7 linked regions of the Danio rerio genome follow. The protein of the gene in region 5 purifies or fractionates together with the protein of the main gene of each other region. This does not show direct contact. Links are inferred from orthologs where the notes say so. Each region holds a gene or a part of one and is shown on either strand. Other genes may lie near its edges.

The links.
Region 1: the proteins of chd4b (region 5) and zfhx4 purify together in Homo sapiens (affinity purification with mass spectrometry; 3 studies listed by BioGRID, with this or other methods). This does not show direct contact. The link is inferred for Danio rerio from reciprocal best matches to the Homo sapiens genes CHD4 and ZFHX4.
Region 2: the proteins of chd4b (region 5) and zc3h18 purify together in Homo sapiens (affinity purification with mass spectrometry; 3 studies listed by BioGRID). This does not show direct contact. The link is inferred for Danio rerio from reciprocal best matches to the Homo sapiens genes CHD4 and ZC3H18.
Region 3: the proteins of chd4b (region 5) and adnp2b purify together in Homo sapiens (affinity purification with mass spectrometry; 3 studies listed by BioGRID and IntAct, with this or other methods). This does not show direct contact. The link is inferred for Danio rerio from reciprocal best matches to the Homo sapiens genes CHD4 and ADNP2.
Region 4: the proteins of chd4b (region 5) and usp36 purify together in Homo sapiens (affinity purification with mass spectrometry; 3 studies listed by BioGRID and IntAct, with this or other methods). This does not show direct contact. The link is inferred for Danio rerio from reciprocal best matches to the Homo sapiens genes CHD4 and USP36.
Region 6: the proteins of chd4b (region 5) and snw1 purify together in Homo sapiens (affinity purification with mass spectrometry; 3 studies listed by BioGRID and IntAct, with this or other methods). This does not show direct contact. The link is inferred for Danio rerio from reciprocal best matches to the Homo sapiens genes CHD4 and SNW1.
Region 7: the proteins of chd4b (region 5) and sap18 purify together in Homo sapiens (affinity purification with mass spectrometry; 3 studies listed by BioGRID, with this or other methods). This does not show direct contact. The link is inferred for Danio rerio from reciprocal best matches to the Homo sapiens genes CHD4 and SAP18.

Annotation. Positions count from the first base shown.
Region 1 is NC_133199.1:27,221,213-27,224,712, forward strand, and holds part of zfhx4 (zinc finger homeobox protein 4), read right to left. Parts: intron 1,830-3,500; 5' UTR 1,784-1,829; coding exon 1-1,783. UniProt on the Homo sapiens protein: May play a role in neural and muscle differentiation. May be involved in transcriptional regulation.
Region 2 is NC_133193.1:18,526,620-18,530,750, forward strand, and holds the start of zc3h18 (zinc finger CCCH domain-containing protein 18), read right to left. Parts: upstream 2,801-4,131; coding exon 1,901-2,800; intron 1-1,900.
Region 3 is NC_133194.1:23,184,530-23,188,649, reverse strand, and holds the start of adnp2b (activity-dependent neuroprotector homeobox protein 2b), read right to left. Parts: upstream 2,801-4,120; 5' UTR 519-2,800; intron 114-518; 5' UTR 104-113; coding exon 1-103. UniProt on the Homo sapiens protein: May be involved in transcriptional regulation. May play a role in neuronal function; perhaps involved in protection of brain tissues from oxidative stress. May be involved in erythroid differentiation.
Region 4 is NC_133178.1:61,789,192-61,792,691, reverse strand, and holds part of usp36 (ubiquitin carboxyl-terminal hydrolase 36), read left to right. Parts: intron 1-264; coding exon 265-450; intron 451-2,092; coding exon 2,093-2,208; intron 2,209-2,615; coding exon 2,616-2,747; intron 2,748-3,500. UniProt on the Homo sapiens protein: Deubiquitinase essential for the regulation of nucleolar structure and function. Required for cell and organism viability.
Region 5 is NC_133191.1:34,981,233-34,985,454, forward strand, and holds the start of chd4b (chromodomain-helicase-DNA-binding protein 4), read right to left. Parts: upstream 2,801-4,222; 5' UTR 2,609-2,800; intron 1,997-2,608; 5' UTR 1,982-1,996; coding exon 1,933-1,981; intron 1,100-1,932; coding exon 990-1,099; intron 1-989. UniProt on the Homo sapiens protein: ATP-dependent chromatin-remodeling factor that binds and distorts nucleosomal DNA. Acts as a component of the histone deacetylase NuRD complex which participates in the remodeling of chromatin.
Region 6 is NC_133195.1:5,545,895-5,549,394, reverse strand, and holds part of snw1 (SNW domain-containing protein 1), read left to right. Parts: intron 1-12; coding exon 13-108; intron 109-1,029; coding exon 1,030-1,136; intron 1,137-3,500. UniProt on the Homo sapiens protein: Involved in pre-mRNA splicing as component of the spliceosome. As a component of the minor spliceosome, involved in the splicing of U12-type introns in pre-mRNAs.
Region 7 is NC_133184.1:22,881,634-22,885,431, forward strand, and holds sap18 (histone deacetylase complex subunit SAP18), read right to left. Parts: upstream 2,419-3,798; 5' UTR 2,304-2,418; coding exon 2,232-2,303; intron 1,371-2,231; coding exon 1,261-1,370; intron 1,180-1,260; coding exon 1,057-1,179; intron 981-1,056; coding exon 824-980; 3' UTR 501-823; downstream 1-500. Other genes in the region: uncharacterized protein zmp:0000001333, read left to right, coding at 2,556-2,733, 3,466-3,798. UniProt on the Homo sapiens protein: Component of the SIN3-repressing complex. Enhances the ability of SIN3-HDAC1-mediated transcriptional repression. When tethered to the promoter, it can direct the formation of a repressive complex to core histone proteins.

The sequences.
Region 1 (3,500 bases), on a different chromosome or scaffold from region 5:
AGCCTTCTCCTGGGCCAGGGGTGCCAGGGGTGCTGGGAGTGGCAGCATGCTGGTGCAGAGGGCCTGGGCTTTCATCATCTCGTCGCATCAGGTCAAGAGGAAGAGATGGCGGACTGCCACCCCTGCCACTGATGGAGTCGCAGCTGTCTTTGCTGCCTCCACTAGTAGAGTCATTGCTGTAGTCCAAGTTGGCAGCAGCATGCTTTGTCTTCTCAAAGTCATTGGCAACAGTCACAGAGGAAGTAGTACCCCTTTCAGTAAATTTTAGCACACTGGACGATAAAGGAGAAATGCTTTGGTTTAAGAGAGGGAAATCTTTGCTACTGGTACTATCCTCAAGTTCACAAACACCATCGTCATCAAGCTCATTTGAATACATGTCTTCCTCCTCAGCGTCGGCAACATCTCTAGGCTCGCTTTTGATGGGGAGCTCACCATTTGCATGCAAAGTGCTAAGGTCCTTTTGCCGTTCACAGTTGCTCTCCTGATCCCTGTACCCAGCCCCTGGTGACGAGCGCTGGAGAGACACAGAGCTGACGGGGGACTTGAGAGCCGAAGTGGCCATGACCCCGAGGTTCAGTTCAGCCTTTGGCATCTGGGCACTTCTGGGCGACTGGTCTGCAGAAGATGCCAAACTGGCACTACCTTTCAGAAAGGCAAAACCAGCCTGTAGGGAATCACCGTTTTCCATGTGAAAGGTGTTCCACAGGCTGCGAATGCCTGGATCAGGGCCCATGAAGTTTGCAGTAGAAAAGTGTGGTAACATAGAATTGTTTTTTTTTGGTTCCAGAAAGCTTATAAGAGGTTCTTTGTCTTTACCAATGCCCTGTATGATGGCAGAGACATATTTATTACTAAGGAGCTTTTGCTCCTGCTCATTGAGGGTCATCCGATGATCATGCACAGCATGGGTTACAAATGACCTACTATAACCAAAAGACAACTTGCACAAGAAACACATCAGAATAGGTTTCCTTTTCCCATCACTAATGCAACCATCAAATTTAGACAAGTCCACATTGTTTGGAACATCTTTGGACACACAGGAGTTTTTGGCTGCACCATCAATGGTAAGATAGTCTTTATCACTCTTGTGTCGGAGATCGTAGACACGGAAACTGTGCAACACAGGACCTTCTCCTGCTAATGCTGAGGTATTTGGGAAAGCCTGATCGGCCGTAAATGGTTTCCCGAGGGATGAAGCGATGTGAAAGGTATTGATCACTTGTGGATAAAAGGACATGGGGGCTGTGGCCGACTGCTCAGTCTTGTCCCCTGCAGCAGTTTGGGAGTTTGAAAACAGTGCTGGGGAGAAGAGGCTTTTGACCCCTGACTGGGCATTCTGACCACCTTCTTTGGAGTCCTCAAGAATAAAAGCTGAGCCATCTGGCTGGTAAACTATCTCTCCTGTCAGGTTCTCTACATCGCTGTCCTCAAGGTCACTGACCTCGCTTTCGTTCTCGTCCTTCAGAAGAGGAAGGCGAGCATTCGGGCAGTGGTGCTCCATGTATTTTTGTAAACTCGAGAAGGAAGTGGCACATTCGTTGCAGGGGATCTCTTTAGTGGCCGTGCCTATCGCATTCTCTGCACTCAATCCCGATGCGATCTCTCGAAGGCTCTCCTCCGTCCTCAGGTTGTCATCCGCAGGGCTGTTTTCCTTGTCAGGCTCCATCCCAGGGACTTTCTCTGGCACCTCATTATCAAGATGTGTCGTCTCACGTAGCTTTGATATCTGCTGCCCATTTTCCTGCCTTAAGAGAGAAGGGGAGTCACAAGTTTCCATGGTAATCGCTACATGGGGATCTCATTTCATCCAGCCTGTCAGGGACCTGCATAAATAAAAAAAACAAGAGAGAAAAGACATTAGAACGTGTATAATGATGGCGGACCTGATATTCAGCAAGTACTGTCCTTGATGTTTTAGAGAGAATTCTTGTGTGGCAATTACTCATGAATTAGCTCAGAAATGAGCAGCAGTTATGGAAAATAGAAGCTTGATGTTTTTCAATGCGCAGACAAGCACTGATTTTAGCTGAGGTTAACAAGAGGTTTTGATTGTTAAAAGAAGTTTGAGTATTAGACTTTCTCAATAACTAGAGTACACCAGTCCACTGCCACACAAAAGCTTCTGAGAGCCCCTTTATAACTGCAACATAATTACAATAAGCAAAGTAAAGGGGGAAGGACCACCACATTCAAATCATGATCATTTTGGCAGAGATTGGCAGTATCTCTATGTTATTCAGTAAATCAGCTTACTCCAAATCTTCCCTATGAGTGATCCCCCAGCAGGTATCTAACAGGCCCTGATTAAGCAGCCATCCAAATTCTAACCTACGCTTTGGCCTCTCTGACAATCACCCCAACCTCAAATTAATATTTAGCACATCCAGTCCAGTCACCCCAGGAGAGCCATCTCGCAATTTCTTTTCACTTTTTTTGTTTTTCATTTTTCATCCTTGGCAGCTCACAAAAACCCAAGCACACAATTTGAAATACCATTGCGATGTTATCTATCCTGGATGGCTGCCCATCTCCCAACCGTCACTGCCTCAATCAGGGGCTCTCCTGGCTTTCACAAATCATACGCGCACCTTACTGATGAAAACCCTTCAGTCATATTTTTTTCTAAGACCACAGACAATTTATTCTCAAGGCTGGCAATGCAAAAGACTGAGACTCGGCACATAAGTTTGGATGCAGAATAGAGTTGGATCTAAAATGTATGTGCCTACCATGCCCAACCACAGAGAATAAGGCCCAGAGTGTAAAGAGAAACCCAGCTGCTCCAAATTTCAGGGTGATATCTATGTCTGCAAAAGAGGTAGAGATTTGTGGAGAAGGCCAACAATGACAGGCTTGCATCTGCTGTGCTTTCAATTAAAATGAAATACATTGAAGACAGACTCTGAATTTTAAAACAGCAGCCCTGTCTGTCATGCCAGGCTTTATTTTCTAATTATTCTCAAGAATATAGGAAATCTGATAATAGCTTATTGAACACGATGCAATTTGGAAAAGTACTTTTTTGCCCAAATGTAAATAAGGGTGAAAGATGATATAAAATTAAACAACAATTACAGCCATGCCTTCCCTACCAAGCTATGTTCAATTCATTTTTTTGTGATACCTATTCTGGTACAAAGCAATTTTGGGATTAATTTAAATGCGTCTTGGCTTAATATGCTTGGTATATTAATATAAATAATATAGCAATTATAATATTTTACCGCTTCAATAATTCAGCTAACAGAAGGAATCACACACAGAAATAAAAATGTATATAAGCTATAACAAGTAAAAAACGTAAAATATTATATTCTATTTTAATTATAATTTGGATAATAAACAAAATGGTGGGGGTGATCTGCACAATGCACTGCTGTGAAAAAGACCTGATTGCTCCCAAATGCCCTGAGAGCAAAACTGTGCAGCAATTAGTGCTAAATTAGCACCAATTAGAATTAGCTGCACACAAAAAGAGGGGAAAAGTGTGTCTG
Region 2 (4,131 bases), on a different chromosome or scaffold from region 5:
TTGACAATAAAGCAGACTTTGACTTTGATGTAGTTTACAGCAGTAGTTCCCAAAGTAAGGGTTGGGACCCCCTGGTGGGTCCTGGGACAATGACAGGGGGTCGCTTGGTGATTTCCAAAATCAAATAAATTCTATTAAACAATTAGAATTACCAGATTTTACCCATAACCCACAGAAGAAGAAAAATGCAGTTTTTAATAGTAAAAAACAATAACATGGAAATGAAAAGCAATCAGCCTTTAAATATTTTTTTCATTGGATTGGTGTGTTTATCAATCCTATAAAAATCCAATAGTACATCCATTTGTAAATATCACCATATTTAACTACACTTAAACCCGTCTCCTGCACTTGCTGCTATTGCACTCCTGGTTAGACCTAAACTGCATTTCGTTGATTTTTACATGTGTAATGACAATAAAGTCGAATCTAATCTAATCCAATCTAATCTTTACGTTAGATTAACAACACAGCCATAGTGTCAGCTGCAGCAGATTGATTTTATAGCACAAGTTTAAACTTTGAAACCTTTATGGCAATCAAATACATTAAAAATAAATACAGGCCACAACTGAACATTCAGAATGATCTCCAAATGGTCTCCAAACTTAAACAAAGAATAGATTTGTGCTGAAAGCATTGTGTCTACCAGTCTCATAAGTTGAGGTAAATATAAAATTAAACAAATTAATTAAATGACTATTAAAATTATATGGTTGTTATGCTGTCAATTTTCTCGTGTTTATATAGGGCTATTGTTGTGTGAGCAATACTTGTATATTTATAACCACCTTCAAGGAATTTGGGGGTCATGAGTCACTGGCATTGTTATTTAAGTGGTTGCGGGCTGAAAAATTTGGGATGCTGGCATGGGTATGACTTAGTTGTATTCTATTAAGGGATTTTACGTCAATATAATTTAAATGAAAACTGTAATCCAAAATGATTAATATCATACTTAACAGGGTCTTTTGAAACGCAATATTTACCACAGGGTGGCTGAAGGAGTAGGACTGTACAATTAGGAGTTTTCACAGTATGAAAAACATTACGTCTATGGTGTGTCCCTGTAAATCATGTATACAAGTATGTGTGTGTGTGAAAAAATTCAAATGTTGATAAAGATCTTTAGACAATTTTTAGTTTTCAGTTAAATCTAAGGGACGTTTGGAACCAATCAAATGTATTTGTTTTTAAACTAACATCTTTAATCTGCAAACAGACAGAAAATGTTAAAAAAATGTTTTAATTATGGCTTTTACATTGTTACACAACATTCACACCAAATAAATGCTCTGAGCTCTGTATTTAAAGACTCCTGAAAAACATGAATCACACATCATTTTCAACTTTGATACTAATGTTAAATATTTCTTAAGCATCAAATCAATCTGTGACACTTGGGATAGAGTAATAACCACAAATTAAAGAAAAATTAGCTTTGCAATAAAAGGAATACATTTTATTTAAAATATGTTTAAAAATATTGTTTTAAATATTAACATACATCATTTTACTATGATATTTACGGCGATTACATTGTTATTTTTTTAGCACATTATTGTTTTTCATTTACAAAATGCTACCAACTCTAAAATTTTAGTAAAATGTCTAATTTAAATATAAATTAATACATTATGTGATGAGTTCATATTCAAAGAAGAAGTATTTTCTATTTTTAGCTTAAAAGTAGTGCAATTTGTTATAATAATAAAAAAAACTAAATATTGCATTCAATGGCTCCCTCTACTGTTACAACCTGGCTATACAATACAAGCAAAAAACCCTCATGCACAAACTTCCACAAATGCTGTCTGGTTGCATCAAAACCAAAATAATATTAATAAAACAAAAAAACAATATTAATCTGCAAAGTCACAAATGATTTCAGTATACTTACATCTATCTCTCCCTCATCGATCTCTCCATCATCCTCTTCTTTCTTTTTATCACGGAACGAATCTCTCCTCCCTCCTTCCCTCGAGTCCTCAGATTTTCTCAGGGGTGTGTCTCTGTTATCCGGAGGCAGAATGGGTTTCCTTTCCTTCCTCTTGCGCCTCTTTTCCTCCTCTTCGTCCTCCTCCTCTTCATCTTCTCCATCCTCCCCTACAGCAGGCTTCTCTGGCTCGTCTTCCTCAGGAGCAGCAGCGCTCGGCTCCTCTGGAACCTCTTCATCATAATCCAGCTCGTGTTCATCCAGATCTCTGGACACAGAAGACTCATCCTTCAGATCGCTCACAACCATCGCCGCTCTCCTCCGCCGCCTTCTCTCCTCTTCCTCATCCTCCTCTTCCTCAAGCTCTGCCTGGCCAAGGCCGGATTTGGTTGTCGTCTCATCTTCTTCCTCCTCCTCATCATCATCTCCTCGCTCTTCCTCTGCTGGAGTAAATGGTCGCTCATGTTCTGCCGCTGGCGAAACAGGATCTGGAGATCTTGGCGTCTCTAGGATTTCCTCCTCAGGAGACTTGATAGCCTTCTGCGCGATTTCTTGAACCCTCAAAGCACCCTCTTGTTGGTGGATGTCTTCTCTCTCCTCCCGGTCCAACTTGTAATCTTCCACATCCGAAAGCTCCTCTGGATCTTCTCGGCCAGCAGGCTGCCTGTCTCTGTCCTCAGAGTCTGAGTCTCCTCCATGCTCCGGGACTTCATTTTCATCGTCATTCAAGAGCTCACTGTCTGATACTCCCTTGTCTGCTTCTGCTGGGGACTCAGGCGACTCCAGCAGCTCATTGTCAGAGAGACCCTTCTCCTCCTCCTCGGGAGACTGCGGGGACTGGGTCGGGCTCTCAGGTGTATCCATTAGCAAGAACTCTGAAAAGGATATTCAACAACAGACAGAGTTTGTTTGTTTTAAAAATAAAAAAAGATGAAAAACATGTAACATTTAAAACAGTTTAACTTTGTCACTCACAAAAAATCATAATAAAAAATACATACTAAAATTAGGAATAACAAAATGTTTAATTAAATTAAAAACGAGTCACTGTTAAACAGCTAACATTATTTATAATCAAAAACAATTACAAATATTTATTTTTGATCAAATATTAAAAAGCTTCAAGGTAGCATTAAAATATATTTAAGAAAAACACAAAATATTAAGATACAAAACAATTTTGGTTAATATCTTAGATACTAAACTGACAGTTAAAATACTAATTTGCAGCATAAATAATACCTACTGTTGCACATGTGTAAAACAAATCTAAACAACACAGTGAAATGTCTCTTAACTTCATTTAGTAAATATTTTTTTATATTGTCTAGTAGTTCTTCTAATTGTTATATATATATATATAGTGCTCAGCATAAGGTACAGCCCATTTTGAAAATTAATATTTTCAACCATTTCTCAGTGAATTTAGGCAATTTATTTTGGTGCATTTGAACAAAACAGATTTATTCAACAGATAATTTAATAAAATAATATTTTAGTTACCAAACATATTTAGAAATTGAAAGAGAATACAATAAATCCATGCTAAATATTGCAAAAACACTTTACAACTAAATTAAAAACAAATTTTTTTTGCACAACCAACACACACACTTAAAAATTAAAGCTATTTTATTATATTTAAAGTAGGGCTGCATGATATGGAAAAAATCTGAAATTTGACATTTTCAATTATCTGTCATATATATTGCGATATTCATATAATTTCAGCAGATGACTTGAATACCACTTTATGGAATTAAATCATTCATTTAGATTTATTGGGTTAATCTTGTGGCAGAGTGAATCAAACAAATTGCAAGCATAAATAAGATAAGATTTTGTAAAGACAAAAGTGAAATATGCAGATTTCCAGAGAATCAAACAGTAGTCAAATATTCAGGTACAGTAATTAAATTATTAAATGCAATGTAAAATAATACAAGTCTTTATTGCTGATCAATCATAATCCCAAATTATTGCAGATACTGCGATGTGACAACTGCAAATGCACACAATGCGATATTGATGCTGAAATGATATATTGAGCAGCCCTAATCTAAAAGAAACCAAACATATATTTTGAATATGTATTTACATATAATGCACTAATATTAGTTTATCATTTTTAAAAACAACTAAGTTCATTATCAAAAATGACATTAAGCTTACACTAATATCAAAATCAATAACAA
Region 3 (4,120 bases), on a different chromosome or scaffold from region 5:
CCAGATTAAGACATGCTTCAAGTCCAAATTCTCCAAGAATATTTTTTACTTTTCGCCTTGTTCTGCGGATCTTCTCCAAACCTTTTACTGGAAACTGGTACATGGTGCAACACCTGAAAGAGATTTATATGTCATTATATTTCATTATTCTGTGAATCTTATAATTATCTATAGACGATTATTAAAATCATCTAGCCTAATTATACAGTACTACAATAAATACTCCGTAGTATTATAATATTATTACACAAAAAAAATGTAAACCAATTTTCTACTCTGTTTGCTCAGGTTGTTTTTAACTATTTGGAATTGCTAGCTAGCTAGGTCTAAACACACAACCATTCATAAACTAACTAAATAAATACATTTTGGAAAGACATTTTAGCCTGGAAACTATTTATATAAAAACAAGACACTATAAATGGAAACCATTTGTACTGTTCGACCAAGATTATTGTAAAGAAAAATGAAGTAGTTTTGAATGTTGGTAGGGATATGCCACTATCAGCTCAACTAACCTGCAGTGGTTTACTGCTTGTCACTGTGTGTGTCTGTAGAGCACAAAGCTGACACCAACCTATATACAATTTCTATAGAAACCAGCATGGATATATATACAAGATCCTGAACGATTGCAGTGTACAGTGAGGATCAAAATACAATCAGTGCATAACAGTGTGTACATTCAGTCCAGATTTAAATAAATAAATCAGGTGAATGGGCATGTGTGAACAAAGCCTGAATTGCTTTTGCTAATAATTAGGATACTCAAGAAAGAAAGAAAAAAAATAGGACAGTTTATTCCAACCTGGAAAATCATTTCACGTGACAAATTCACTGTCATCTTCACTTGTTAAAAACCTGCTTTAGCAGGAGGAATACATAACACAAAGGAATACATACTGAAGAATGCTGAAAATCATTGACTTCTATGACATGTGCTTTTTTTTTACTTTGGAAGTCAAAGCTTACAGATTTTCAGCTTTCTTCAAAATAAATTATTTTGCGTTCAGCATAATAGTGAAACTCAAAGGTCAGGAACTTCTCAAAGATGAGTAAATAGGTAGTATTTTCAAGACATAGCATGCACTACACTTTAACCAATCGTTACTTAAAACAATATTGCCTACAACAATTTTCCATCAACAGTCAGACTATCTGTACACCTATTCATTGTCTTAAATGCATTACTGTCAACACTGCTAATTGTATATTGTTTTTGTTTTTTGGGAATATGTTGTATTTTGCACTGTCTGGAGCCAGCACTTAAGCTTTTCACTCCTCATAGTACACGTACAATAAAAAGTTATTTGATTTTTTTTTTGGTGAACTTATTTCAATTAATGTAATCTTTCTCATTATTATACATAAGTAAACTAATTTAAACACATGCACAGATTGCAATCTGTGCATCTATATGAATGCAGGGTCAAGCACATGCGCAGACGTTTTCAAAGTTTTTAAAATGTATTCCAAGCAAATAAATGTATATATGTACAATATATGTAACCCCATTATAGTATCATAATTAGCTGTGGTAAGTGTAACAGTATAATAGCATAATGTGCATATAATATGATACATTGAAATATATAGATAAAAGCATATCTATTATTAGCCTTATCCCTAAGTATGCATTCAGCTTGCATAATTCAGGAACAGATAAGCATGTTTTAATTTCAAGTATATAAGTCTGTCACAAAAATAAAATTAAACAGATCTTAGGGACATTTTCCCTCGAAGTTCAACTCTTATACAATTATAAATACGATGCTTGTTTTCACTTTTGACTTATGAGGCTGATTTAACATCCCATCTCCATTGCTCAAAAACAAACATGAGATCCTAGCATTATAAAAATGTGCATGCTAGTGATGAAAGGTAAAGAAACATTAAGTGTTTGTTTTATTTATTTATATATATATATTTTTGACCACATATATTCATCATCTCTGCCTGTTGAATGTGTAGCGCTTTCAACACAATCTGGTGAATTCAATAGCAAGGCTAACGTTAGCTAATTATTGCATACCGAGAACAGCTTTGTATTACCGAACATGTGGAAAAATCATTTTGTGCTACATGTCAGATATTGGGCACAAATGCAGGATAAAAATGACAAATTTCGATTCTGCATCGATTAAAATAAACTAATCCTAACTGCAAATGACTGCACTTCCATGATCTAAATGTGCCCAAAAGCATATCCAATTCGAGCTGTAATTATTTATTTATTGCAAGCATTAACTGCGACCGCTGCCCAAACGTATAAAACCCCGCCGCCAAAAGCACACGGAAATTTCCAAACAATAGCGTCCAGTGTAACTCTATAGCCGGGCGAAAATAATATTCCAAGAGCGCCGCATCGATAGAAAAAAACCGACAAGAGCGATTTCACATTGCAGGAAAAAAGACTCCCTTCTAGAAAGCAAGATTCCAAATAGCGCAGTGATGTCATGAAGTAACCTCTTCAGAGCACTCGGCTAATGCACTTCGTTCTACTTCCTGATCACACCGACCGCGCGACAACTGAACGAAAAAGCTAATGTTCTCGCCGCTATCTAATTGTGAGGACATTAGCTTTTTTCGGCGCCACACACCGACCCAGGGAGATTTACCTACTTTCACCAATCCGCGTGTCTGCCAGAACCGACGAGTTAGGATGATGAGACGATGTAAGGATGTTCCAACAAGAAGTCTGTGCTCTCAGTTATGGAAATCAGCTATTAATTGTATTTATTAAAATTTGGAAGTAGGACCCATTTATTGTGCTTGCCGTTTAGAGTCGAGAAAATGGCGCATTGAACAACTGGGAAGTGACGTCAAGAGGGTAATTATCATACTGCGAGCCTGACCAATCGGATTTAAGCAGGCTTGACATGCCAAAACTTTCTTTTGTATGACTTCTGCTGGTTCTCAGTTGTAACCACGTGGGGAAGCATAATCAACTTTTAAGTTGAGACTTAGTCAGGTTGTGGTTACTTTCTATGTTTCATGTATTCATCATGATAAGGCATTTTCATTCAAGAGGTCTGGCCACTAGAGGGCGCGGTTTCTTGTAATTCACATGTAGAGCCACTAGATGGCACCTTGAACAATGAGCTGGTTGCTGAGCAACTGCACAAGATGGGAGGGGTCTTGTTGCTGAAGTCATCTCACACCACTAGTCTTCATCCAATGGGTGACCAGCAAGTAATAATACTAGCTAAGGCATATAAAAAAATTGCTTGGCATTTACGGTGCATGAAATTTCTGATGATCCATTTTTGATTTTATGTCATGACCAACAGTTCCATCAGACATAACATTGGAAGTTTTTTTTAGTCTTAATGAACGGTTTGATCAACACGATAGTCGCTTTTTTTGTTCGAAAATGTAATTTAAAAAAAATTTAAGTCACGTTTGCAAGTTTTAAGTGGGATTTTACTAGATTCGATAACATTTTAAATAATAATTATGATCATCGTAACATGCATCGCACAATTATTAACGAATTTTAGTATTGACGCAATTAACGCATCTATTTATTAGGTTTGTTTATAGATTGATTTTTTTTTTACAATTTGAGCGGAGTGATGTAGAGGCTGGCATGTCAAACGTGATGAAAACTGAAAAAAATATATTTTTTTAGAAAATTAAATTTTCGAAATTCGCAATTTTGCGATTTATTTATGACATTTAACTCACTCACTATGTAATGCTTAAGAATTAATTTCAAAAAAGATAAATTTATAAAATCACAAGTACTTGAATAAATATTAATTTGTGGACCCAAATTTTCATAATAATTGACAATGTCATTAAAATACAATAAGTGTCACCTCATGAATAAAAGTTACAGTAATCTCACAGTGCATGTTTTATTAAGTAACATTTAATAATGTCTGATGCAGAAATGTTAGCACTTGAAGTGTCTTGTTTTGATGTTACAAAACAAACTTTAGTGACGATAATTGCTTAACCATTGAAATAATCATAACAAATTGACCCCTTAGCGCAATGTAAACATGCATTATTCAAGGGGTTTCGAAACTGGGCTCCGGAGAACCCCAGGGGGCAGCAAGGGAGCATATATATATATATATATATATATATATATATATATATATATATATATATA
Region 4 (3,500 bases), on a different chromosome or scaffold from region 5:
GACAAGTTGATGGCATATAAGTTTCCTGTATTGCCACAATGTTGTCTTTATTCTTTCATTAAGACAGTTACTTTTTTTATTCTGAATTAATCAGCAGCTGTGACCAAATCAGTTGAATTCAGTGAACGACTCATCCTGACACTAAGAGTAGTCAACTGTTGATGGCAAGACGTTGTTGAAATATCACCTTTGAGTAAAAAAAGCCCAAAATATTAAGGTTTCTTAAGACATCAAATGAGTCCTTTCTCTGGTTTTCTGTTTCAGCTCCAGTGATTGTTTGGGACAGTCAGGTTCAAGATGGATTCAAGAGCAGCCAGAATCATGAAGAAGCAGAGGACATGTCTGGCAAAAAGTCCTGCGCTGTTCCTGTTTGCTGGGACGGCAAGAAAAGCTGTGATGTGGTTCAGGAGCTCCTCAAGAACTCCTCTGATAAAGCCTATGGAACTGAGGGTGAGCTTTCAATCAATGTGTTTTTCATTTGTTTTTGTCCTTTTCCTGATAGTCAGGCTCGATTCTGTTGCTGTCGTTAATCTGGCACCCTGTATTTCAGAGGAGGGGCACAGTGAAAAAGTGTTTTGAATTTGAAGTGCAATACCTTATTCTACCACCGGATGTCACTCTTACATGTACTGCATTTTTAAACTACCTGTATCTGAAATGCCGCATAGATCCAGATGGTAATTATTCCACAAAACTGCCTCAGAACATTTAACCTCCTAGGGCTTAGTGGTCACGTACGTAAACAGCACATTTTAGCTCTTAAGTGGCTATTTAAAATACTTTGAATGTTTTATATTTTGTTACAGACATTCAGTGTCATCCAGCAACTGTTTTGCAGCATATGAAATGTCCCAAATACTGTTTTTAACTATCCAAAAAATAAAAAAATATATAAAATATATATATATATCCAAAATATTAAAAAAATCTCCAAAAACTCCTTTAACAGGGTTCTTACGGGTGCTGGAAATCCTGGAAAATGCTTGATTTTTAATATTGTGTTTTCAAGGTTAGAAAAGTGCTTGGATTTTGAACAAAGTGTTTGTACCTGCTTGAATTTGAAATTGCTGGGCTCGAAATTGTGACTTTTGGTTGCATATGCGCACAATTTCATCTGTGACCTCTAAATATATTTGAGAGCATATGTGCGAGTGCATAAATAGTTTTCATGCGTCTAGTTTTTATTGCAAAACGTTCACCGCATGCATGTATGTATGGAGCCAATAATATGCCAAAACAATCTGAATTTGAATTGTCAAATTATTAACACCTGTAAGCTAATAAAACTGATTATATGCTATTAAAAATTGTTTAACCGAATTTGAAACTCTTAACTTGATTATTAAACATCTGAAATTTAAGTCAAATTTTTGTAGACATATTTTCAAACTTTAGATTTTTTGGTTCTGAATTCAAAGACTGCAAATATTGGGTATGTAAAAAATACAGTTTTAAGTTGTTCAGTTGTTAAACTGTTTTGGCATTATTAGCTTCATACGTATTTAGGAGAAATTCACCCAGAATGCAACTTGAATGCATCTGAAACGCCAATTCAATATATATATATATATATATATTTAATAAATACTGTAAAAAAATAGCAATGCACTTGAAATATCATGAACAACTGGTCATGAAAGTTTGGGACTACACCCAAACAAAATCTGACTTTGGTCTCTTTCTACCTAAAGTTGATATCTCAAGAATGAGCTCAAACTTAAAAATATACTTCATCCAAAAACTAAACTTTTTTAATTTATTTTTTAATTATTTTTGGGTGAACTATCCCAATAAATCTATGCTCTAGAGTATTCAACAATTTAAGGTGAAATGTCATATTGTGTTTTTTAAAATAGCACAATGGATTCAAATGTGATTAAATGCATACAACATATATAAACATGGTTAACCGTGGTTGTTAGGTGCTGAAAAAGCATACAAATGCACCTTTAAAGTGCTTGGAAAGTGCTGGAATTTGAAGTTGGAAACGGTGTAAGAACCCTGTTTAAGATCTCCTGAAGTTCTCATCTGAATACTTGATTTGGTTCGCTGAGCTGAATTGTTGACTGTTTTGATTCATTTCATCCATCAGTTCTCAGTTGGGAAGGCGATCCGTCACTCATCAGCAGAGATGCCGTTCAGGATTCACGCTACGCTAAAAACCTGACTGTCATTGATGAGTGGGATAGTGAGTTCGACAGCGGAAAGGTGAGGATTAAAACTCTGACCTCTCATATGTTCTGTGCCTAATACTGAAGAGTCATTTAAAGCAGATCTCAGACTAATAGTCCACTGCAGACAGTTTACAGACATATTGCTAGTCATAGTTTCATTACAGAGCACATTGTCTGAAATGTTGTATTTGGATCAAAAACGCAACATCCCATTTTAGGTTCTGCAGGAAATTGACATTTGCAAACGTGAATTTATGTACATAAAAGATGACTTTACATGCAAGTAAAGTGCTTTGTTTCATACAAAGAACTTGTGCTTGTTTCAAATAACAAACTCTGCACATGACATATATGACAGTAGAGTTTATGTATATGTGTTCTATTAAGTATATACATGTGAAGTGTATAGAACAAGTTGTTTTATTTGCCTCATTCGAATAGGTGAAGAAAATTAAAAAATACAAAAAGGACAGGAGGTGGAACGGAAACGTCTTCCAGAAGATCCAGGAACATCGTAACATGTGGTCTGTGACGGGTGGCAGACGGTGCAGTCTGGGCTATCGACACTCAACGGTGCCTCACTTTATTCTCTTAATTTTCCCCCGCTTTAAACTATAAAGACATTTTTTTGGCCAGTTTACAAGACTTTTCTACTATTATTGGTTTTAAATGCATGTTGTAATTTCTAAGACTTAAGTTTGATGCTTTAGACTGTTTGAATTAATTGTATTACTTGAATATACAGTAGTCAACCTTTGAGGTTTATGAAAATGACCTAAAACTATTGAAAGATGCCCAGTCTCATCTTATTTATAAAAACATGTCTGATCCTGATTCAAATGTTTCAGTCTCCTTAAGAAAAAAAGTTTTTTTTAAAATATTTTTATTTTACTTATTTTTGTAATTGTTTTTAAATGTATTTATTTTATTTATTTTTATTCATTTATATTTATTTATATATATATATATATATATATATATATATATATATATATATATATATATATATTTTTTTTTTTTTAATTTATTTATGAATTGTTTTTTATTACTATTATTATTTGTTTATTTTCATATATTTGTATTTATATATTTTTTATTTATATGTATTAGTTTATTTTTATTTATTTATATTTATTAACATTTTTGTTTTAGTATTTTTTTATTCATTTTTTATATTTATTTTTATTTGTTTATTTATATTATTATTATTCATTATGTATAAATTTGTTTTTGTTTTTCACTTATATTATTATAATATTTGTTTTTTATGTGTTTGTTTTATTTGTACATATTTATTTATTTGTATTTACATTTTTTCTTATTTGT
Region 5 (4,222 bases):
TGCTTTTTTAATAAATAATTAAATTGAATTCACCTTCGATATGCACTGTAACTAGATTAATGGGATTATTATTCTTTCTAAAAATTATTTTTAGTACTGCTTACCTTCTAAATGTTATATTAACCTCTATCACTTGATCAATAAAAAAGACAGACACACAAGTGCACTGTTAAATCATTTAAAACTAATAAATGTATAAAAGAAAGTTTAGAAAAAAATATATAAACTTCACAAATTACATTACTTATTTTATTATACTTAAATATTTAAATACCTAAAAAGTTAAATTAGGCATTATCTTGAGCAGCTGTTTTCCCACGCTAACTGGTTGATGGCTGCTTCTTTTCAAATATATACACTCATATTTGCTATAACTTTGCATGAGAACATCAAGTTCAGCTGGAGAAAGAAATGCTGATCTCTTTTATAAGATATTGCCATAGTCACTCGTAATGTCTGCGCTCCACTGATAATGCCTTTTTATAGTCACGGTGTGCGCGCTTAACTCTGAGTTGGTCTACTCGAAGTTGATTGACCCAACTCAGATCAGCTGTTCTGAAACCGAAAACTCAGAGTTTTTAATATCTCGGTAAATCAACTCAGAGTTCAAGTTTAAACTCTGAGTTGTTTGAACCTCCTTACTGAAACAGGCCCCTGGTCTATCTTCCCTGCGTCTGTGTGGCTGCTGTAGTGCATGTAATCAAACTCCTCTTTTCATGCAAACCTTTTCCTCTTTCGCCACTCCCACCTAAACAAAGCTGGACTCACCCACTTTGCTGACGTTTTTAAACTAGAGGTGTGAAAATACCCTGCTAAAACAGAGGGGGTTTCATGGCCCTTTAACAATGAAAACAGCTGCAGTGAAAACTCAGCGATACATTTTTGATCAATAGATAATTGAAAAGAACAGTAATTATATCTGAATAATGCTGAAACTATGTCACTGTTCAATCAAACGTGTCCTTGTGTATGTTGTGTTTGCGTGTCACCTCTCTGATGACTTTCTGTCGTTTGCTAGTCCTGCTTTCACGACTCTTCTTTGCTTTCTTCTTCTTTTTGGATTTGGGAGTATCTGTTTCTGATATTTGTTCTTCGATATCTGTTCAAAACACAGACGTGAATGAATCATACATGAAAAATTAAAAGCTGCACAATCCTCTTTCTTTTGATTGCATGTCTGTCCTATCCTTCCCAAGCAGAGAATATTATATTATGCATAAGACTGGAATATGTGAAATCCTAATTATTTTCTTAAGGACTAAGAACTAAATGCAATTAATGACTTTAATAGATGAACTTCTAGCCATTACAACAGTTTAGTCTTCAGAATACATCACTTTCATGCCTTCCTGCCTTAAGATGTACCCAACTGTCCAAATATGTTAGCAGCTGTGAAACTAGGGCATAAGGCTCTTGCTTTTGAAATCATTCATTTATTATAAGCTCTCTGCTGATAGGCTGCAATACCAGCGCCATTACTGAGGGCAGCCAGGAGAGGAAAAGCAAAACAAATGGGTTCGACACACTATGCTAAACAATATTCCGCGCGGTGTGATTGCTAAGGTACAAAATCAAGCTAGTTTCGCTTTTAATAAGTTAAGTACAGTATCAAATAGGTTTCTCTTCGTTTAAATGTGCTGGTTGTAATACAAGCCAGTGAATCAGGAAGTGACTTCTGCATGCTGATGCTCCTTCATAAACTAAAGATTGTACTTAATAGGTACTGCGATGCGGTAACACGTGGCTTGGAGGCTCAAACAAACAAAACATACAAACATTCAATCCGCCATACTCTTCCTCACAGAAACGGCCATTTGTCCAGATCTACGTTGACAAGTCAGCAGTTCATTTGCATGTTTGGGCTCATTTTGGGAAGGTTATATAACATGATGTGGTTAATGAGGGTCCGGACTCTGTTCTGGACAGCCTTACCGTCTCCCATGGGTTCAAAGCGGTCCCGGTCGTCTTCACTCCCCGACATTTTCCCGTTTGGACGCTGAATAAAACAGAAATGACCACAGTATTTTGTAATGGGCTTTAGCAGCACCCCATGTTAACACCGAGAGAAACAAGTGACACGGGAGGCTAACTGTGTTTAGATTAAATGAAATCAATTAAACATGTTGGCATGTCATCATCACACGGCGTGCAGTGTTAAAAAGAGTTTGACGTAGTCGTATAATTTCGGCTTTTTTCGTAAACTTTCTCGTTCGGTCCGAGCAAAGGAAGCCTCAACTTAGCTGTCAATCAAGTTAGCAAAGCTAGCAAACAGAGTCAAGTGATCCGGCTGCAGGGAAAATGGCAGCCGGCTGGATGAGTTGAGTTAAAGCGCTTATCTGCTGTCGTTTCTGGTTATATTCGTCAACCTAAAACTTTCCTCCATGAGAATACCACGCGGAGGTGGCGAAGCCCCCGACAAACACCATATGGCGCGTTATGACGCGAGGTATAGCAGTTGTAAGTAACAGTTACCAGTAATATTACGTTTGTATGTTTGTTTTCTGTTTTAAGCTACATTAAGAAAAAACTCAACAAAAACATACATTTGTATATCTACGTTATATCGTTAACGCGGGCGGTTGGAAGTGGGTGGGAGGAATTGACTTACAGGTCAGTCCAAGGTGTAGATGGTCGGCGCTACGATCAGCTTTTATTCTGACGCGAAATCTGCAGGTTACTACCTACCACTACAAAAATAAAAAAACAAGCTCCGAAAAGGTGTAAATCTTTGGGAGACGTCGTCCACTCTTCTCCCCTTTCCCCAGCGTCAGTGACCAGAAGCGAACATCCTCGTACACACAAAGAAATCAGGGGGGGTAGAGACATCCCATAATAATCCCAGGCACACTGCCCCCTCCCTACAACACTCACTCAACTCTGCATAGTTACCTCGCAACCTACAGACCATAATACTCATCTCCCCCTCACACACAGTAGCAAGTATACACTGCCTTCCCCTTTCTTAGTCCCTGCCCCCTTAGCAACCGCGTTGCTATGGAGACACTGCCCCCTCCCGCCCTCTCTGCCATCCCATAATACTAATAAGCAGGCCGCTCTGACATCCCATAATAAACACAACTCCTAAAAGAGAGGGAAGAAAAAAAACAACACCAGTCACATGGTCTCCAGGGAAACCCCAGGCCGCTGGCGACAGCCCATAATAATCTGCGGCTGTCTGTCCACCTGGCTGGGTTTTTGGTGCACGAGTGACAAAAAACCCATATGAGCACCTGGTTAGAAGTCAGGCTAACAAGTAGTGCGCTTCGGGTATCTGTCAAATGCCACACACTCACAAGAGCCGCAGTTCCCAGTTTCAGAGGTGATGAAATGTCATCAGCGCTTCTTTTAATCGCATATCAGGCCCGGAGATTGATGAGTCTAGGGGAAACGGTGAAATAAACACTAACTTTTGTGAACTGCGTGTGCTGTGACAATCTCAAAAAGAAGCCCGGGACATGCTTAGAGAGTCTGAACTCCGGTGACTTCAGCTGCTTGGGCTTACAACAGGTCGAGGAGACTTCTCAAGAGAGGAAAATGCAGAAGTTACATTCTCATCCGTACACATTTAGATTTGGCCAAGATTATCTATTTAAAGCAGGAGGCAAACCTAGCAGTCAGTTCTATTTATATGCATACGCCATGTCTTATTATAGGAACTTGCCATTCATAAAGACAGATGTGTCACTGCGTTTCCCATATTTACTCAAATGTCATAGAACTGACCCTAATGCTGAAACACAGCCAGCTGACAGCAGAGCAACTAGTTACATACGCCATCAGATTAAAAGGTTAGTTCGCCCAAAAATGACAATTCCAATCGCCTGAGACCTTTGTTCATCTTCAGAACTTAAATGAGGATATTTTCAATTAATTCCGAGAGCACTCCCATCCTTCATAGACAGCAATGGTCCGCAGACATTCAAAGTCCGGAACAAACCCTGTCAAACCCTTATATGTGACTTCAGTGGTTCATCTGTAATCATCCCAAGCTCCGAGAACACTTTTGTTTTCCAAAAAAGCTTTAAGAATGACTGTTCACCTATATCTTCTCATCCATGTCAGGCTGAAAGGGTGTGTCTTTACTGCAGGCAGTGCGTAGTACTGCCATAGGGTATATGCAGAGCTAGTGTTTCTTCCCATACTGATAAACCCTTCGGTGAACAGTTAATGTGACTTTTTACATTTTACACGGTTCCTTTTACAGCATCGATGTTGTAATGTA
Region 6 (3,500 bases), on a different chromosome or scaffold from region 5:
TTTTTTGAATAGGTCATATTTAGTAAATACACAGACATGCTTCCTAAGGAAGTGCTAAACCAAGATGATCCAGAGCTGCAGAAACCAGATGAAGAGGCAGTGAGAGAGGTAAGATTACAATTCAGTAGCAGTTTCTGATAGATTTCACAATTTTGTTTCAGTTTCACAATCATGCTTAAGACTGCTATAATGTACCCTTTTGTTTAAAAATTAAATACTATAATTAAATATTTACACAATTAATGCATGTCATTTTGAAATTATGTAAATGTTAACATTTTTCTTAAGTTACTGAAGTGAACTTTGAATAATAAGAAAGCTTAACAATTTTCTATCAGTGTTGTTTGATTTAATTAACATTAGGTTTGTTAGTCTTCATTTACACACTAGTGTCTAATATCAGGGTGTCTGCAGGGTTTTAAAAGTCTTAATGCTTTTAAAAGCAGAAATTTAGCCCTTAAAAGTCTTAAATTCACTAAAATATAGTGGCATAGGTCATTTCAAACCGGTCTTAATTTTCCTGTGTCCAAGTAAAGCTACCCTAACGGACTGACACCCAATAATCCATCTTAAAACTATTTTGTTTATATTTAAGCTTTTTATTGCAAAATTATACAATTCACAACAGCTTCTAGACATTTTTACAGCAAATTCTCCAAATTACATTTCCTAATCAGGGAATGAAAACTAATGCAACACATCCCTTTACATGATCTTCCATTAATATAAAAACTATTTACAGAAGTAACCAGGCTATTAAAAAAAGTCCCTATAAGGCTGAAATTTCACTCATATTGGCCTTGAAAGGGTCTTAAAAAGTCTTAAATTACACTTAAAGAAACCTGCTGAAACCCTAAATATACATGCACTGGCTTGAAATCCTTAACTTGCATTACTCTTTTGTACTGTGGTGTTAAAACAGCATTGATAATGGAAATATTTATGTTTTAATCAAGCGATCCTCATGAAATTAAATGGTCATTACGCAGAACCAGCATGAATTAACTTTTCTTTTTACCTCTGATGTAGCTTACAGAAAAGACCAGATTAGCTCTGGAGAAACAGGTTTCACAGAAAATCGCGGCAGCTATGCCTGTGCGTGCTGCAGATAAACAGGCCCCCGCGCAATACATTCGGTAAGAGTGACTTGTGAATGATGTGAAATTGTCGAATTTAAATAAATGTTCTGGTTTTAGTACAAGTTAGGCTGTTTTATCAGTATGATGTTCATTTACTTTAAAAAAAATATACTATATATAAACGTCTTTCTTGTTCTCAAAAAGTAAAGCATATCAGCTAGTGTTAAAAAGCTGTGATTATGTAAACGCATGAATAATTCGTTAAAACTTTTGTACTGTTAAAACAGTTTATTGTTTGAGCGTTTAAATTGTCAGATTCCTTTATGAGGTTGGAATAGTTGACCCCTTATGTTTTTTTTATTAATTTGGCTATAAAAAGACTGAAGAGACAATTATTTTCTCTGGTAATGGAGATTATGGTGCATATACTGTTGATGGAGAAAATTTGAAGGAGGCAGTGTATTTTTCTTTATACAGTGCATTCGGAAAGTATTCATAGTGCTTCACATTTTCCTATTTTTTTTCCACATATTACAGCCTTATTCCAAAATGGATTAAATTAATTTATTTCCACACAATTTCTTTAATTTCTAAATTCTACACACAATACCCTATAATGACAATGTGAAAAAGTTGTTTTTTTTTTTATTGTTGCAAATTTATTAAAAAATAAAACGCCTGAAAAACCACCTACAGAAGTATACACGGCCTTTAGGCTGATTTATACTTCTGCGTCAAACGTCGGCGTATGCTACGGCGTTGATGCATAGCCCTTCGCCGTGGCCGGCGGCGTCACTGACGTGCACCTCTCAAAAAATGTAACTACATGTTACAACAACAACAACACGTAGCGCAAGCTCTGTGATTGGTCGGCTTGGTATCGCTGACGAGTCTGGGCGGGACCGAGAGCCGTGTGAACGGCACTAGCCCAATGGAGCGATTGTTTACAAGTGTGGAGTCCCGTGAAGGAGCTCCGGATGGAAAGTTTTATTTTGTGTTTACCTCATAGTTAAAGTTGTTACACGTCCGCCGGTTCCTGCCTCAAAATGAGCGAGTTTGAGCCGCTGGTACATCCAGGAAGTGTTCAGGAAAAGCAAAACAGCAGCGAAGAGACTTCACACAGGAACACTTACACCTCACTGCCAACTAGCATTTCGAAGTGTTAATGCAGACCAACAGTGACAGCGCGCAGAAGTATAAATGCAAAGCTATGGGCGTTGCATGCGCCAATGGTTTCTCCGGTCACTTGACGCAGAAGTATAAACCAGGCTTTTGCGGTGAAGCTCCACTGATTATTCTTGAGATCTTTCAGCAGCTTAATTGGAGTTGACCTGTGGTAAATTCAGTTGATTAAACATGATTTGAAAAGGCATACACCTGTCTATATAAGGTCCCAGGGTTGACAGTGCATGTCAAAGCACAAACCAAGCATGAAGACAAAGGAATTGTCTGTAGACCTCTGAGACAGGATTGTCTCTGGCCACATGGCTGGGAAGGGTTACAGAAAAATTTCTGCTGCTCTGAATACTCCAATGAGCACAGTGACCTCAGTCATCCGTAAGTGGAAGGAGATTGAAACTACCAGGACTCTTCTTAGAGCTGGCCGGCTATCTTGGTGGAGAAGGGCCTTAGTCAGGGATGTGATCATTAACCCGATGGTCACTCTGTCTGAGCTCCAGCGATCTGTGGAGAGAGGAGAACCTTACAGAAAGACAACCATCTGTGCAGCAATCCACAAGTCAGGCCTGTATGGTAGAGTGGCCAGACGGAAGCCACTCACCATCTGGAATTTGCCTAAAGGCATCTAAAGGACTCTCAGACCATAAGAAACAAAATTCTCTGCTCTGATGAGGCTAAAATTGAACTCTTTGGAGTGAATGCCAGGCGTTACGTTTGGAGAAAACCAGGCACCGCTCATCACCAGGCTAATACCATCATTACAATGAAGCATGGTGGTGGCAGCATCATGCTGTAGGGATGTTTTTCAGCAGAAGGAACTGGAAGATTAGTCAGGATAGAGGGAAAGATGAAGGCAGCAATGTACAGAGACATCCTGCATGAAAACCTGCTTCAGAGTGGTTTTGACCACAGACTGGGGCGACGGTTTGTCTTCCAGCAGGATGTTGACCCAAAGCACACCGCCAAAATAAATAGACTGACTTCACAAAACTTGGTGAACGTCTTTGAGTGACCCAGCCAGAGCCCAGACCTAAATCCTATTGATCATCTCTGGAGAGATCTGAAAATGGCTGTACACCGTCACTTCTCATCCAACCTGATAGAGCTTGAGAGGTACTGCAAAGAGGCATGGGCACAATTTCCCAAAGACAGGTGTGCCAAGCTTGTGGCATCATATTCAAAAAGACTTCAGACTGTAATTGTTGCCAAAGGTGCATCAACAAAGTATTGAGCAAAGGCTGT
Region 7 (3,798 bases), on a different chromosome or scaffold from region 5:
GTTTGTTTGATTAGGGTTAAGGCTAAACTTTGCAAGACATTGGCGCTCCAGGACTGACTCTGGACACCCCTGAGTTACAGTAGATAAAGCCAGATGGACAAAATGCTTTTGCAGTTTAACCTAACTACAATAAACGAACATACAAATGCCAACAAGGCCAAATGGTTACTTTATAGCTACATGTTATTTTGGAAATTTCCCACATTTTCTGCTACTGAATGTGAGGTACGGTTCAATAGTAGGGTTGGGGTAAAGTTTACTGTGCGAATACTATACTTTTAAATTGTAAGTGTACTTACAATGTACCAACTTGTACATCTTCATATTCTGCACTACATGGAAAAAGTACAAAGTAGTTAGAGACAACTATAAAGTTACTAAAGCTTAATCATTAGTGCATTCATTCTGAGATCTACTTGCTAAATTGAAATATTTATTTAAACAATGAATACTTCATTTAACTAAAAAAAGGTTTATAAATGATACGACTTTAGACAAGATACTGAAAAAAAAAAACATTTATTCATGAATGATTTGAATCACGCTAACAGGACTAGAACTAAAAAGGTAGATCTGATAAAAAACTCCACAAAGAACATAATATATGAAAAGACTTTCCTTTTTACTTCCAAATCGAGATTATCAGCTCAATCATGCTGCTATTCTGCATAAACCTTCCTGCAGAGTTTAGTTCCGACATAAACACTCGATCAAATCAAAGTCTTGCAGTTCACCTGAAAAGCTCAGACAAGGGCTGAACTAAACTCTGCAGGAAGACAGACTTCACCCCTTTCATTTAAATGCAGTCAAGTGTTGTTTCAGGTCAGTAGGGCCTCATGCGTCCTTGGAGAGGCGGTGCGCGGTTAGGCGGAGTGATGGCAATGTCAAGATAATCTCCGATCTGAAAGCTTTGTGACTGAAGCGTCATCGAGTCATCTGCACCTTTGCGCCCAGAAACTGTGTTGCCAATTTCTTTAACCCTGCAATAAAGCCAGTGGAGTTATAAAAAATCCATAACAAATCTTAACACAGTATTAAGAACTGTGTATTCATTACCGGTAGATTTGTCGTTTGGGGTCTGGGTAAACAATGGCGAATCCAAAATGTGTGCCTTTCTTCCGAGCTTCCGGATAGACTTCCTTCACCAGGCTTGTCAGTTCTTTTAGAGTAGCATCCATCCTGCAGCCAAGGCATATACAAATCAGGATTGTATGGTTCAGTTGATCATTGATGCAGTGCCTGTTTTATAATAATACTTACCAGGTGTAAATCTGAAGTTCACTAGAGGGCACGTTCCCCCGGGCAAACTCATCCATGCGATGGTGCCTTCCATTGTTGGTGGTGAACACTCTCAGGAGAAGTGGGCATGTCTGCACAACGAGCACAACAAACACATGTAGAAAGTATTAATAACAATGTCTTTTAAAACAATCAGACATGCAGATGTGTCTGTGCATCCAATATAATGGTTATTAAACAGTTGGCACAGGATCGTTAGGCAGGAATCAAACTCGGGTCACCGAAGTGCATGTGTTGACGCACTAACCACTGGTGCAGATGTAATCTCATTTCTTAACCAACATCAATTCTGATAATAACTACAAAAGTAGTTTTAACACTAAATTGATTTATGAGAAATATACTTTTCTGTGCAGATTTTTAGAGGTTATTTGTCTTTAAGTCGACGATCAGAACAACATTTGTATTACTTTAGTTCATTTGGCCTGAAATGAAAACATGCTCAATTTTACTCCAAAACAAAACTGAAGAAATGTGCCAAAAATATAATGTTAAACATTTTTTATATAATTGCGTTTTTAAATGGAAGCCTGTTAACAAAGAGTATGTGACTTTTTACTTAAATGGCACTGGGATGGTTAAATATTAGTCGACGTTTTTTTACCAGTCCAAAACAGAATCTTGATAAGAAAATGGGTAAAATATATTAAAAGCTTAATAAAAGCAACTTTTTATTTGCCAGAATGTACGCTATGCTACATTAACAGATAAAATGAGTACAAAATAAAACAAAAAGGCCAAATGTCTAAAAGGAATGCACACGGTTTAAGATACGATTTGTAGTATAACGTTGCAACTAGATATTTTGTAATGTTTCTGTGTACCTACATTTTTAGTTAGCGTTAGATTTACAAATTAGCTTAGCATGCAGGACGCCTCGTTTGTGCACGAATATTCGCGCCACTGACGAACAGAAGTAACTGAAAACAAACCTTTTCTCTATCCACTGGCTTTGTTGGCTCTTTTTTGATCTCCTCCTGTGTGACCCTCGATTCCACAGCCATTTTTATCTTATTTGTTGAAAGAATAAGCGATGAGTCGCTGTTCACGACGCCAGTAAACGCTCGATCGCGGCGCGGTGAGATGATATCATCATAGCCAAGACAGCGAGGACCAATCACGACCGACCGGTTACGACTAGTGAAATGACGACACACTCGTGTCGCCTACTCTCCCCCACCGCCATTTTGGGAGTCAGATTGTAAATATTACTAGTTCAGGAAACCAAATACGTCCACTAATTTGGTGGCATTAATATGGTGCACACTTGCGTAGTGGCCGGTTGTCGGAACAGGAGAACTCCAGGGACCGCGTTATCCTTTTACAGGTTTCCCCGCGACCCGGAGCGGAAGCAGCGCTGGATCGCTGCTGTGAATCGTGAAGGGTGGGTGCCAAACGAGGGCAGCAGACTCTGCAGCACACACTTCATTTCAGGTAGGGTAACATCTTATGTGGTGCATATAGCATGTGTAGGTTAGCAGTAATCTAATCTCTGTGATGGTTGTAAATATGTCTAGTAATGTGTTAAATGGTGATGAAGCCCTGCCTGATGCCTACATTACTCTTACTGTTATAATGCACTTTAGGGCTTGGGTTCAATACAAATGTGGACTAAGCTATTATTTTTGGGGGGGTAAACGCATGGTATTGCTCACTAAATTAACATGTGAAAAATGAATGCGCTGTTTTTCTTTTATATTTCTTGATACAACACAATTTAATATGCCCTATAGTAAAATAATTATAATGTGTGTGTTTGTGTATAAATATATATATATTAATAAGCCATTGGTGCCATCTGGAGGGAGAAAACAGATTATATGTAATAACACATTATAACCACTAGATGAATGTGTAAAAATACTGTATCAGACGATAGTTGCTTGTAAGAGTTTGCATTTGTGTATTTTAATATTTAGACTTCATCAAAGACTAATTGTCTGTGCTTGATTTGGACAGTTACTGATTTATACTGTGTTTTAAAACTGTCTGATGCACTGAAGTTGTACAAAGAAACGCTTATAAATTGAGTTGCCTGGTGAATTTGCACATTGTTTTTAAGTGTCTTATAAACCATAACATTTTAATTTATATAAATTATTAGTTTTTTTTAAAGAACATGAATGCACTCTTAAATACATCAATGTTTTTTTTTTCCATTTACAGGAAAACAAGTGAAAAATCCTCGATCCCCTGATTTTGTTCCTTCAGTTTTCACCTCAGCGCCACTTTCCCCAAATATGAAAGAAGCAGGTTCTTGTGAAATGTATGATAAACAAGAGGCACAAGTGGAGGCCGCCAATGCTTTGCTCTTTTTGCAAGGACAAGGGCGTTTCTTGGAGGAAAATAGCCAGATGACAAGTCAAGAAGAGCCGGAGAGTGTTTCCTCTTCACTGAGCAGTTGTGACGAGGAGGATGTTAAGACTGAAGATGCTGTAAAAGAAGAAATCTCACAAACAAGCGTACTCCAAAGAGGACAACCAGTCAAAAACATTCCCC